Oryctolagus cuniculus: one gene and its partner. The protein of the gene in region 2 purifies or fractionates together with the protein of the main gene of each other region. This does not show direct contact. Links are inferred from orthologs where the notes say so. Each region holds a gene or a part of one and is shown on either strand. Other genes may lie near its edges.

Evidence for each region. Proteins that work in one complex are often made in the same cells at the same time.
Region 1: the proteins of BACC1 (region 2) and SMARCA1 purify together in Homo sapiens (affinity purification with mass spectrometry; 4 studies listed by BioGRID and IntAct, with this or other methods). This does not show direct contact. The link is inferred for Oryctolagus cuniculus from reciprocal best matches to the Homo sapiens genes BACC1 and SMARCA1.

Annotation. Positions count from the first base shown.
Region 1 is NC_091453.1:107,193,877-107,198,563, reverse strand, and holds part of SMARCA1 (probable global transcription activator SNF2L1), read left to right. Parts: intron 1-3,031; coding exon 3,032-3,141; intron 3,142-4,687.
Region 2 is NC_091448.1:51,718,975-51,724,213, forward strand, and holds BACC1 (chromatin complexes subunit BAP18), read left to right. Parts: upstream 1-2,040; 5' UTR 2,041-2,264; coding exon 2,265-2,285; intron 2,286-2,469; coding exon 2,470-2,564; intron 2,565-3,045; coding exon 3,046-3,147; intron 3,148-3,712; coding exon 3,713-3,903; exon of another isoform or gene 3,904-4,022; intron 4,023-4,114; coding exon 4,115-4,219; intron 4,220-4,371; coding exon 4,372-4,436; 3' UTR 4,437-4,634; downstream 4,635-5,239. Other genes in the region: RNASEK (ribonuclease kappa), read left to right, coding at 530-607, 1,223-1,299, 1,563-1,704. UniProt on the Homo sapiens protein: Component of chromatin complexes such as the MLL1/MLL and NURF complexes.

The DNA.
Region 1 (4,687 bases), on a different chromosome or scaffold from region 2:
GGCCTCCCCCCCATAACTTCCCTCCCACCCACAACCCTCCCATCTCCCGCTCCCTCTCCCATTCCATTCACATCAAAATTCATTTTCAATTATCTTTATATACAGAAGATCAATTTAGTATATATTAAGTAAAGATTTCAACAGTTTTTACCCACAGAGAAACACAAAGTGTAAAGTACTGTTTGAATACTAGTTATAGCATTAATTGCTATCCATTCTTTAACCCATTGACCACTGACTTCAGTATATTCTATACAACTGAGACGTACTTCCTATGGTCTTTTTTTAAAGCTTTTATTTAATGAATGCATTTTTCATAGGTACAGCTTCAGGAATATAGTGGTTCTTTCCCCCACACCCACCCTCCCACCCTGACTCCCATCCAACTTCCTTCTCCCTCTCCCATCCCCTTCTTCATTATGGTTCATTTTTAGTTTAACTTTATATACAGAGGACCAACTCTATGCTAAGTACAGATTTCAACAGTTTGCACACACACACACACATACAACATATAAAGTACAGTTTGAGAACAAGTTTTGCAGTTAATTCTCATAGTACAACTCATTAAGGACAGGGGTCCTACATGGGGAGTAATTGCACAGTGACTTCTGTTGTTCATTTAACAATTAACACTCTTATTTATGACATCAGTTATCACCTGAGGCTCTTGCCGTGATCATAAGGTCTTCAATGATTTTCTAGTTGATGAACTAAGGATATATTTTGATAAGTATCTTGACTTCTCTGTACCATTTCATACCACTAACTATGCCTACTTCTGTAAGCTCTTTGCTACTTGGTTTCCAGTAGACAATTTTCTCCTACCTCTTTGGCCACTCCCCTTAGTCCCCTATATGGACTTTTCTTTGTCCCTTAAAGTTTAGCACTTTAGGGGATAGGTGTTTGGCATAGTATCTCCAAGGCAGTTTACACTTTTAAGGTTCTCTCTCTTAAACAAGTTTGAGAGTTGCAAACCTAAAGTCTTCTTTTTTTTGAAATTTTTAAAGATTTATTTATTTATTTGAAAATCAGAGTTACACAGACAGAGAAGAGGCAGAGAGAGAAAGAGAGGTCTTCTATCCGAGGGTTCATTCCCCAATTGGCCGCAATGGCCAGGGCTGTGCTGATCTGAAGCCAGGAGCTTCTTGCTGGTCTCCCACATGGGTGCAGGGACCCAAGGACTTGGGCCATCTTCTACTGCTTTCCCAGGTCATAGCAGAGAGCTGGATCGAAGTGGAGCAGCCTGAACTTGAACCGGCGCCCATATGGGATGCCGGTGCTTCAGGCCAGGGTGTTAACCCGCTACACCACAGCGCCGGCTCTGCTAATGTTTTCTTTTACTGTTCTACATTCCGTACCTTCCATAGATCTCTAATAATAATAGCCATAATTTATTGAATGTCTATGGTGGGTACGATCTATACATTTACTACCATAAATTTTCATGGGAGCCCTAGAAATAGCATCATTATCAGCATTTGGAAACACGTGGCATATATGCATACCATAAATTAATTTTTCTTTTTCTTTTTTTCTTTTTAACTTTTATTTAATGAATATAAATTTCCAAAGTACAGCTTATGGATTACAATGGCTCCCCCCCCCCCCATAACATCCCTCCCACCCGCAACCCTCCCCTTTCCCACTCCCTCTCCCCTTCCATTCACATCAAGATTCATTTTCAATTCTCTTTATATGCAGAAGATCAGTTTAGCATACATTAAGTAAAGATTTCAACAGTTTTCTCCCACACAGAAACATAAAGTGAGAAATACTGTTTGAGTACTAGTTATAGCATTAAATCTCAATGTACAGCACACTAAGGACAGAAATCCTACATGAGGAGTAAGTGCACAGTGACTCCTGTTGTTGACTTAACAAATTGACACTCTTGTTTATGGCATCAGTAATCAACCTAGGCTCTTGTCATGAGCTGCCAAGGCTATGGAAGCCCCCTGAGTTCACCGACTCTGATCATACATAAATTAATTTTTCTATAAGTGAATGAAGAAACAGGCTTGGAAAAATTAAACAACTTGCCTAGGTTCACGAGGACTAATCAGAATCTGCCAGATCTACATTTGAGTTCAGTTTCTTAAAGTGGCTTTTGTGAGTTTACTAAAATTGAAATCCTCACATGTCATACTCAAAGACTTATTGTAATCATTAAATATTACTGTGAAGTTCATAGTTCAGTGTCTGGCACATTATAGTAGACACTCTATAAGTTGTAGCACTGTGGTTATGGTAGAATCTGTCTTCCAGGTATGCACTGATTATTTTATATTATCTTTTTTTCTGGATTCACCCATATCTTCCTTAATGTTGAACCATTTTCTTTTCATTCATATGTTAAACTATATTGAAATGACCTGTGATTTTATTTCATTTTTATAGTGCCTTAGATGAATGCTCTGACTTCAGATTTTTTCTTAGGTTTAAAAGGCAAAAGATAATTTATTTAAAAGGCAGAGTTGGAGAGAGAGAGAGAGAGAGAGAGAGGGATTTTCTATCCAGTAGTTCACTTCCCACATGTCTGTGTAGAACACAGTCTGGGTCTCCTATGTGAGTGACAACGGCCCAAGTACCTGTGCCATGTCCTGCCCGTTTCCCAGGTGCATTAACAGGAATGCTGTATTAGAAGCAGAGTAGCTGAAACGTGCACTAGCACTCTGACATGGGATGCCAGTGTCACTAGCATGACTCAGCCTGTTGTGCAACAGTGCTGATACCTATGGAAGTTTTTTTAAAGGGTCCTTTACTGCTTGCTTAATAGTCAATAATCTTGTTTTCTTAATTTATTGTATTTTGTGCCATCAAATCATGAGTATCTAATTTAGGTAGCTTCTTCTGATTTTCTAATGGGCCAGTACTTTCTGAATCTTTAGCAAGAAACTTGGCAACTGGTATTGGTAGTGTTCATCATATTATGTGGTATGAAGTAAATTTCATATTGGGGTGGTATTAATGAAATACATGCTTTACAGTGTTAAATGTTTTATATTTTTATAAAATTATCACTTTTTAGGTTTTGAAACCATTTTTGTTACGTCGTATAAAAACTGATGTAGAGAAGAGTTTGCCTCCAAAAAAGGAAATAAAAATTTACTTGGGACTGAGTAAGATGCAACGAGAATGGTGAGCTATTTTATTTCCATTAAAATTTATTTGTGTATAAGAATTTACTAAATGCTGGCTTTGTAGTGTTCACATAGTCTTTTAGTTCAAAAATACATTTTATGTTTAAATGGCAAGTTAAGTGGTTGAAATATTTTTAAAGATTTATTTATTTGAAAGGCAGAGTTATAAAGAGAGGGTGGAGGGGGAAGAGAGAGAGGTCTTCCACCCACTGGTTCACTCCCCAAATGGCTGTAATGGCTGGAGCTGGACCAGGCAGAAGCCAGGAGCCTGGAGCTTCTTCCAGGTCTCCCATATGGGCGCAGAGGCCCAAGCACTTGGGCCATACTCTGGTGCTTTTCCAGGCACATTAGCAGAAAGCTGGATAGGAAGTGGAGCAGCCGGGAGGCAAACCGGTGCCCATATGGAATGCCAGTGCTGCAGGTGGTGACTTAACCCGCTGTGCCACAATGCCAGCTCCAAATGAATTATTTTAAGGGAAAATTGATGTTTTATTTAACCTCTGGGAAAGGGTAGGTTTTAGAGTCTGTAGATTTGTCTTTGAATCCCACACATTGCCATTTTTTTGTTGTTTTAAAGATGTTATTATTTATTTGAAAAGCAGAGTTACAGAGAAATACCTTCCGTACCCTGGTTCACTCCCCAAATGGCTGCAAAAGTCAGGGCTGGGCCAGATGAAAGCCAGAAGCCTGGAACTCCATCTGGGTCTCCCATGTTTGTGGCAAGGGTCCAGGTACTTGGGCCGTCTTTTCCAGATGCATCAGCAGGGAGCTGGATTGGAAGTGGAGCAGCCAGGACTATGAACCAGTGCTCATATGGGATGCCAGTGTCGTAGGCAGCAGCTTAACCCACTGTGCCATAACCCTGCTCTCCATGCATTGCCTCTTAATAGCTATTTAGCATGAGCAAATTATATCACCTGTTTCCTTTTTGTAAAATGGGGGTAATATTACTTAGCTGAAGAGGAAGATGTTAGGATTAAAGGAGACAATGTCACTGGCATATTTGTTATTATTCTTGCTTTTTCCATCAGTGAAAATAGTGATAACCATGATGATGATAATGAAAACATTGTGAGTATGGATATTAACAAAATATAGCAGCTGAAATGGTCTGACAAATAGAAACAAAGCAGGAAACTTACAAGGGGAATCACAAAGAATGATGTAAATAGATCATGTTATTGATGTAATAATACTGCTAAAAGATGGAAAGTGTTGCTTATATAAATAGAATTAGATCATATATAAAGTATATATGATTTCTCAAGTATACAAGCCAATATAAGGTAGAGAGTAAGATATAAGATCAATTCCTTGCCTTGTTTGTTGCTTTGGCTCTGAATTTTTCACCTTGTCTTAGCTATCTGAATTTCCGTCTGTACTAAGGATATGATACTAATACATATTGGAGTTGTGAAGATTTAATGGGATGATCCTCGAAGCCCTTGTACACACTAACTATTATAATTAAATATCATTATTGGTCAGATGAATGCACAGCTCTCTTTGGGTAAAGGTCTAGAAAAGAATTAAAATGTTTGCAG
Region 2 (5,239 bases):
GGAATCCCTGTCTCACTTACCACTTCCCCTGCACAGATATCACCCGAAACTTAAGTGTCTGAGGGGAAAACTAGATGACTCCAACCCTCGGGTCACAACAGCCCGAATTCCCGAGCTCTGCCACCGTCAGTCTCTCTCCCGAAGCCTGGCTGCGGCTACTTCCTCGTCACGTGACGGCCAAAGTTGGTCACGTGGCGTGGCGGCGCCTACCATTCCAGCCTGGGGAGGGGGAGCCAAGACACGAGACTCCTGCTCTTGCAATATTTCCGAGCTACACGGGTCACGAAGGGACTCTGGAAAGGCTACTCAAGTTTCAGAGGCCTCCTTCTCGCGCCGAATTCCCTAGAGGACCCCGAGCGTCCACCGCCTGCCGCCCCCAGGAGGGTGGTTGAGGCCGGAGGCCACGCCCCCTAGGCCGTCCTCTGCCGCGGGAGCCCCGGAGCGCAGCTCGCTGGCCGCCGGCGCATCCAGGGCTTCTTACCGCCCCTCTGTTCGGCTTGCTCCTGGGCGATCTCCCGTTCCCGTCTCCATGGCGTCGCTCCTGTGCTGTGGGCCGAAGCTGGCCGCCTGCGGCATCGTCCTCAGCGCCTGGGGAGTGATCATGTTGGTGAGGGGGCTGCCCAGCGTGAATCGGTGGCGAGCCTGCGGGGCCGAAGGCTAGGCAACTCCGGGCCTGGGCCAGCAGCAGGCAGGATGGCGGGGCTGGTGCGAAACGAGACCGAACTGAGGCTGCAGAAGAGGGAACTGGAGCCTAGCGGGTGGTGGGACTGGAGCCTAGAATGGGAGCTGGGGTTGGGGTCCTGAGAGATGCTTGGGTCGAACGGAGGGTACAGGGCATAAGGGGTGCTCGTTCCCGAAGAGGGTAGCGGGCTCCACCCGCCCCCACTTCCAGAAGAAATGATTTGAAGAAGTGGCGGTCCTCCCTCACGTCTTCCGCCCTGTCCCGTGAGGGTGACGCTTCTGGGGAGGAGGACAATGTGGGTTCCTGGGAAAGCGCTTGTCCCATCACCCGTCTCGGCATCGCCACCGCACGCCCTGTTCCAGGCGGCTGAGTCCGAAGCCGGCAGCAGCCGCCCCTAATCCTGGTTCATTCTGGTCCATCCCAGGCCCAGGTGTTGTGGCAATATTAGAAATAGAAGGGGTTTAGGGGGTAACCAGGAAGTCAGGTGCCTGAGTCCTACAATCTACCCATTCCTTTTTTTTTTTTTTTTTTTTTTTTAAGATAATGCTCGGAATATTTTTCAATGTCCATTCTGCAGTGCTAATCGAGGACGTTCCCTTCACGGAGAAAGACTTTGAGTAAGTAGTCGGGTGGGGAGGTGGGCAGGTGGCTAAAGTCTGACTTAAGGGCGGGATGCTTGGGGGCGCTGGAGGAAGCAGCTGGCCAGCCGTGTAGGGGTCAGGCCTCAGCGGCCATCGTACGCCCAGCTCAGTCCCCCTCTGCAAAGCGGGCACTGTGGCACTCGCCCCGTAGGACTGACAGCGAGGCGCACAGGAACTGCGCCGTTGAGTGTTGGCTGCTATTAACGCTCGCCGTTTCTCTGCCTAATCCGCGCCTCCAGGAACGGCCCCCAGAACATATACAAGCTTTATGAGCAAGTCAGCTACAACTGCTTCATCGCCGCGGGCCTCTACCTCCTCCTGGGAGGCTTCTCTTTCTGCCAAGTCCGGCTCAATAAGCGCAAGGAATACATGGTGCGCTAGAGCAGGGTCCCTGCTGCCCTCGCCAGCCCCGTCCTCTATTTATAAGACTCTCCCCGGCCCAGGTCACTGGCGCGCTCTGCGGGACTGGGTGCCCCCCACCTCGGCCAGTCTTGAACCCCTGTCCGCCGGCCTCTGGCAGCCCCAGCGGAGGGAGCCTGGGTTGGCCGCCCCCTGGCTCCCCAGCCCTCCCAGCCTCGTCCCGTACCACAATAAAGAGAAGCTGCTCTCTTAAAACTTGTGTCTGTGCTTGCGTGAGGGGGCGGGCCGGAGGTCAGACTCAGACCGGGAACCCCGACCCCCGGGCGGAAATGGAATGGGGCTGACCGGAAGTGAGGCGACGCCTTCCACCACTCCTTCCCTCGGCGCGCCCGGGCGGCCCCAGTGACTGCGGTCGGTGAGGCGGGAACGGCAGGGCTTGGGCCAATCAGCGGCGGGGAGGGCGGGACTTCCTGCACGGAGCCCGGAGCGGCGCGGCAGCCAGGCTCCTTCCGTGGTCCCGGCTCGCGTGGCGGCGGCGGCGGCGGCGGCGGCAGCGTCTCCCTGAGGAGGTGCGCGGGGCCATGACGTCAGCGTCCACAAAGGTTCGACCTCCCTCGCGGACAGCGCTCCCTGGCGGCCACGGGCGGGCGGGTCCCCCGCTTGGCTCCCGGCTCTTCCGCCGCGGGCGGGGGGCGGGCGGGAGCCGAGCCGGGGTGGGGCTAGGGGCTCCGGGCGGGCCGGCGCGGGGGTGTGCGCCGGCCCCCTGTCATGCTGCCCCGCCCCCAGGTCGGGGAGATCTTCTCTGCGGCGGGCGCCGCCTTCACGAAGCTCGGGGAGCTGACGATGCAACTGCATCCCGTGGCCGACTCTTCTCCCGCGGGGTACGTGAGCCCGGGCTGGGACGTGGACGCTGAGGGCGGACGCTCGGACTCCACGCGGACGCGGACCCTCTCTAGCGCAGGGACAGCGGTTAGTTTCCCTGTGGCTGGCACAGCCGGAGCAGGTGTTAATAAGTGATCGTCGAGTGAGTGAGTGACAGATGCAGACAGGCCCCGCCCCGCACTACTTCCCCGTCGTACCCCCGCCACGACCACCCACTCCCGTTCCTCGGGCTGCTGCAGACTGCTAGGGTGCAGGTTGCGAGGCTTTCACGTTGATGGGAGAGAGAGGTGGTCCGAGGTGTCCCGATTTCCCGCAGCCGGGGGGTCCTCCAAGCTTTTCTTCTCCTTACAGAGGGCCTCTCTATGGATCCGTGACCGGGGCCCCAGAGACCGGGAGGCGGCGACTGGCCGGCTGTGGCCCCGCCAGCCGGCTCGCTCCACGCCTCTCCCCATTCTGCTGACCCCTCTCCCCTCCCGACAGAGCCAAGTGGACGGACACCGAGATAGAGATGCTGAGGGCTGCTGTGAAACGATTTGGGGACGATCTTAATCACATCAGCTGTGTCATCAAGGAACGGACCGTGTGAGGGAGGGAGGCGGGCAGAGAACGGGGGGCGGGCCCTTTTCCTCCCCTCACCCTTCCTTCCACCCTCATCACAAGTCCCTTGCAGCTCCGTGTCCTCCCTTGAGGACTGCAAACACACAAGGATGGTCACGTTGGTCAGACATCCCAAAAATGCCCTGGCAATGAGGGCCTTCCAAGAATCTGATTTCAGGTTGTCTGAGAGACACGATCACTGCATTTGACCCACAAGGTTCCCTGGGTAATCCGACAGATCTCTTGAGATTCTCCCACAGTGTTTCCAGGAATATTGCGGTTCTGAATATTGCTTGGGATCTATGAATAAGTCTCCATCTTACCTGGTGGCCCTCTGCAGCCACACCTCTCTCCCAGGAGAGACTCAGGAGGGGTGGGCCTTTCCCCGTACTCAATTCAGGGAGCCCACTCCTCACATCCATCCGCCCGGTGTGAGGGCAAAGCTGCAGGAAAAAGAACCCCACCAAAAATTCTTGCGAAGAGGCTCCCTCCTCCCCCACCCTCCCCACTTGGTGATCACTCCTTCCCTAACCGGCTGTCTTCTCTTCAGGGCTCAGATAAAGGCCACTGTGAAACGCAAGGTGTATGAAGACTCTGGCGTTGCGCTTCCAGCTGAGTCACCCAAGAAAGGGCCCAAGAAGGTGGCCTCTGGGGTCCTGTCGCCTCCCCCGGCTGCCCCCCCGCCCAGCAGCTGCAGCGTCCCTGACGCCGGGGCCCCCCCTGTAAAGAAACAGAAGTCCGGTGAGGGCGGTGGAGTCGCTGCCTCGGCGCGAGAGGTCCCATCTGAGGCTCAGTGAGAGAACTGGGCCTTGGGCGAAGCAAGACAGCTCTTCCGCTCCCTCTGGCTTCCTCTCCCCTGGGTGGGCAGAGGGGGAGGGGGTGGGGCGGATGGGGTGAGCACAGAACTCGGGGTGGTCGGGAACCTAGAGCCTAGCTTGTGCCCCCCTCGCAGACGTGACGCTCAGTGCTCTGAACGACTCGGACGCCAATAGCGACCTGGTGGATATTGAAGGGCTGGGAGAAACTCCTCCGGCCAAGAAACTCAACTTCCACCAGGGTAGGAGTCCCCCTCCTCCCACACCAGCTGGGGGCGGGGTAGGATCTCAGCAGGAGCCCTTCCCTGTGCACTCTGCCGGCCGGGCCGGGACACTGTCTCAGAGGCCTACTTGGGGCCCGCTCCATCTCGGTCTGTTCTCCTTCCTGTTCCAGACAGCCTGACCCTGGGTTCTGGCCGCCTAAAGACCTGCGCTGAAGCTCCTTTGCTCTCCTGCTGACCTCCCACCTCCGAGCCCTCTCACCGTTCGCCTGGACCTGTGGATCGCCTGGGACTCTGAGCGAGGCCTGCCCGAGAGAGGCGCAGAGGCTGCTGGGGCTGGCCGCCTGGCTGGTCCTGGACGAGCATCCGCCCCAAGCCCTTTGACCTCTGTCTGATGGACATTTTTATACAGAAAACAATAAAGATTTGTCTCTCAGCTTGGTGCTGTCGGGCTCACGTTATTAACAGGAGAGGGCCATTCCCTCTCCTGGCCTCGGCCCTCAGGGGCCCAGCCCCTCCCAGTAGCTCTCGCCACCCCGCCTGGAGCAGCACAGCCAATATTGGCAGACTCGCCTCCCGGTGCCAATATTTCTGTGCTGCTAGAGCCAGGGGAGCTGGGTGTAGGCAACAAAGACTCCACTTTGCTCTCTGGAGCCAGGACGTAGTCCCAGGGCCTCTGGCAGGCAGAAGTCCTGAAACTTCCCTGGGGATTTTAAAGGGCCTGTTTGCAGCGCATTCATCACTGCCCCCCCCCACACACACACACCCCACCACCACCACCACGTCATGAGAAGTTTATCACAAGGCCCCAGATGTTTTTTGAGTCACTTCTCCAGGGTGGCCTCCCAGGGCCAAGCCTCGGCGGTGCCTCCCCCACCCTCGCTCTAACACCACAGTGTGGTTTGGACGTGGCCACAGTGCCGTACAAACCACAGTGTGCTGCTGGGGCGGGAGCAGGATTCGGGTGGGTTGAGAGGAAGAAGACACAAGGCAGCGCTGTGAAGACCCCCATACCACCAACCTCCAAGAGCAGCGAGAGAA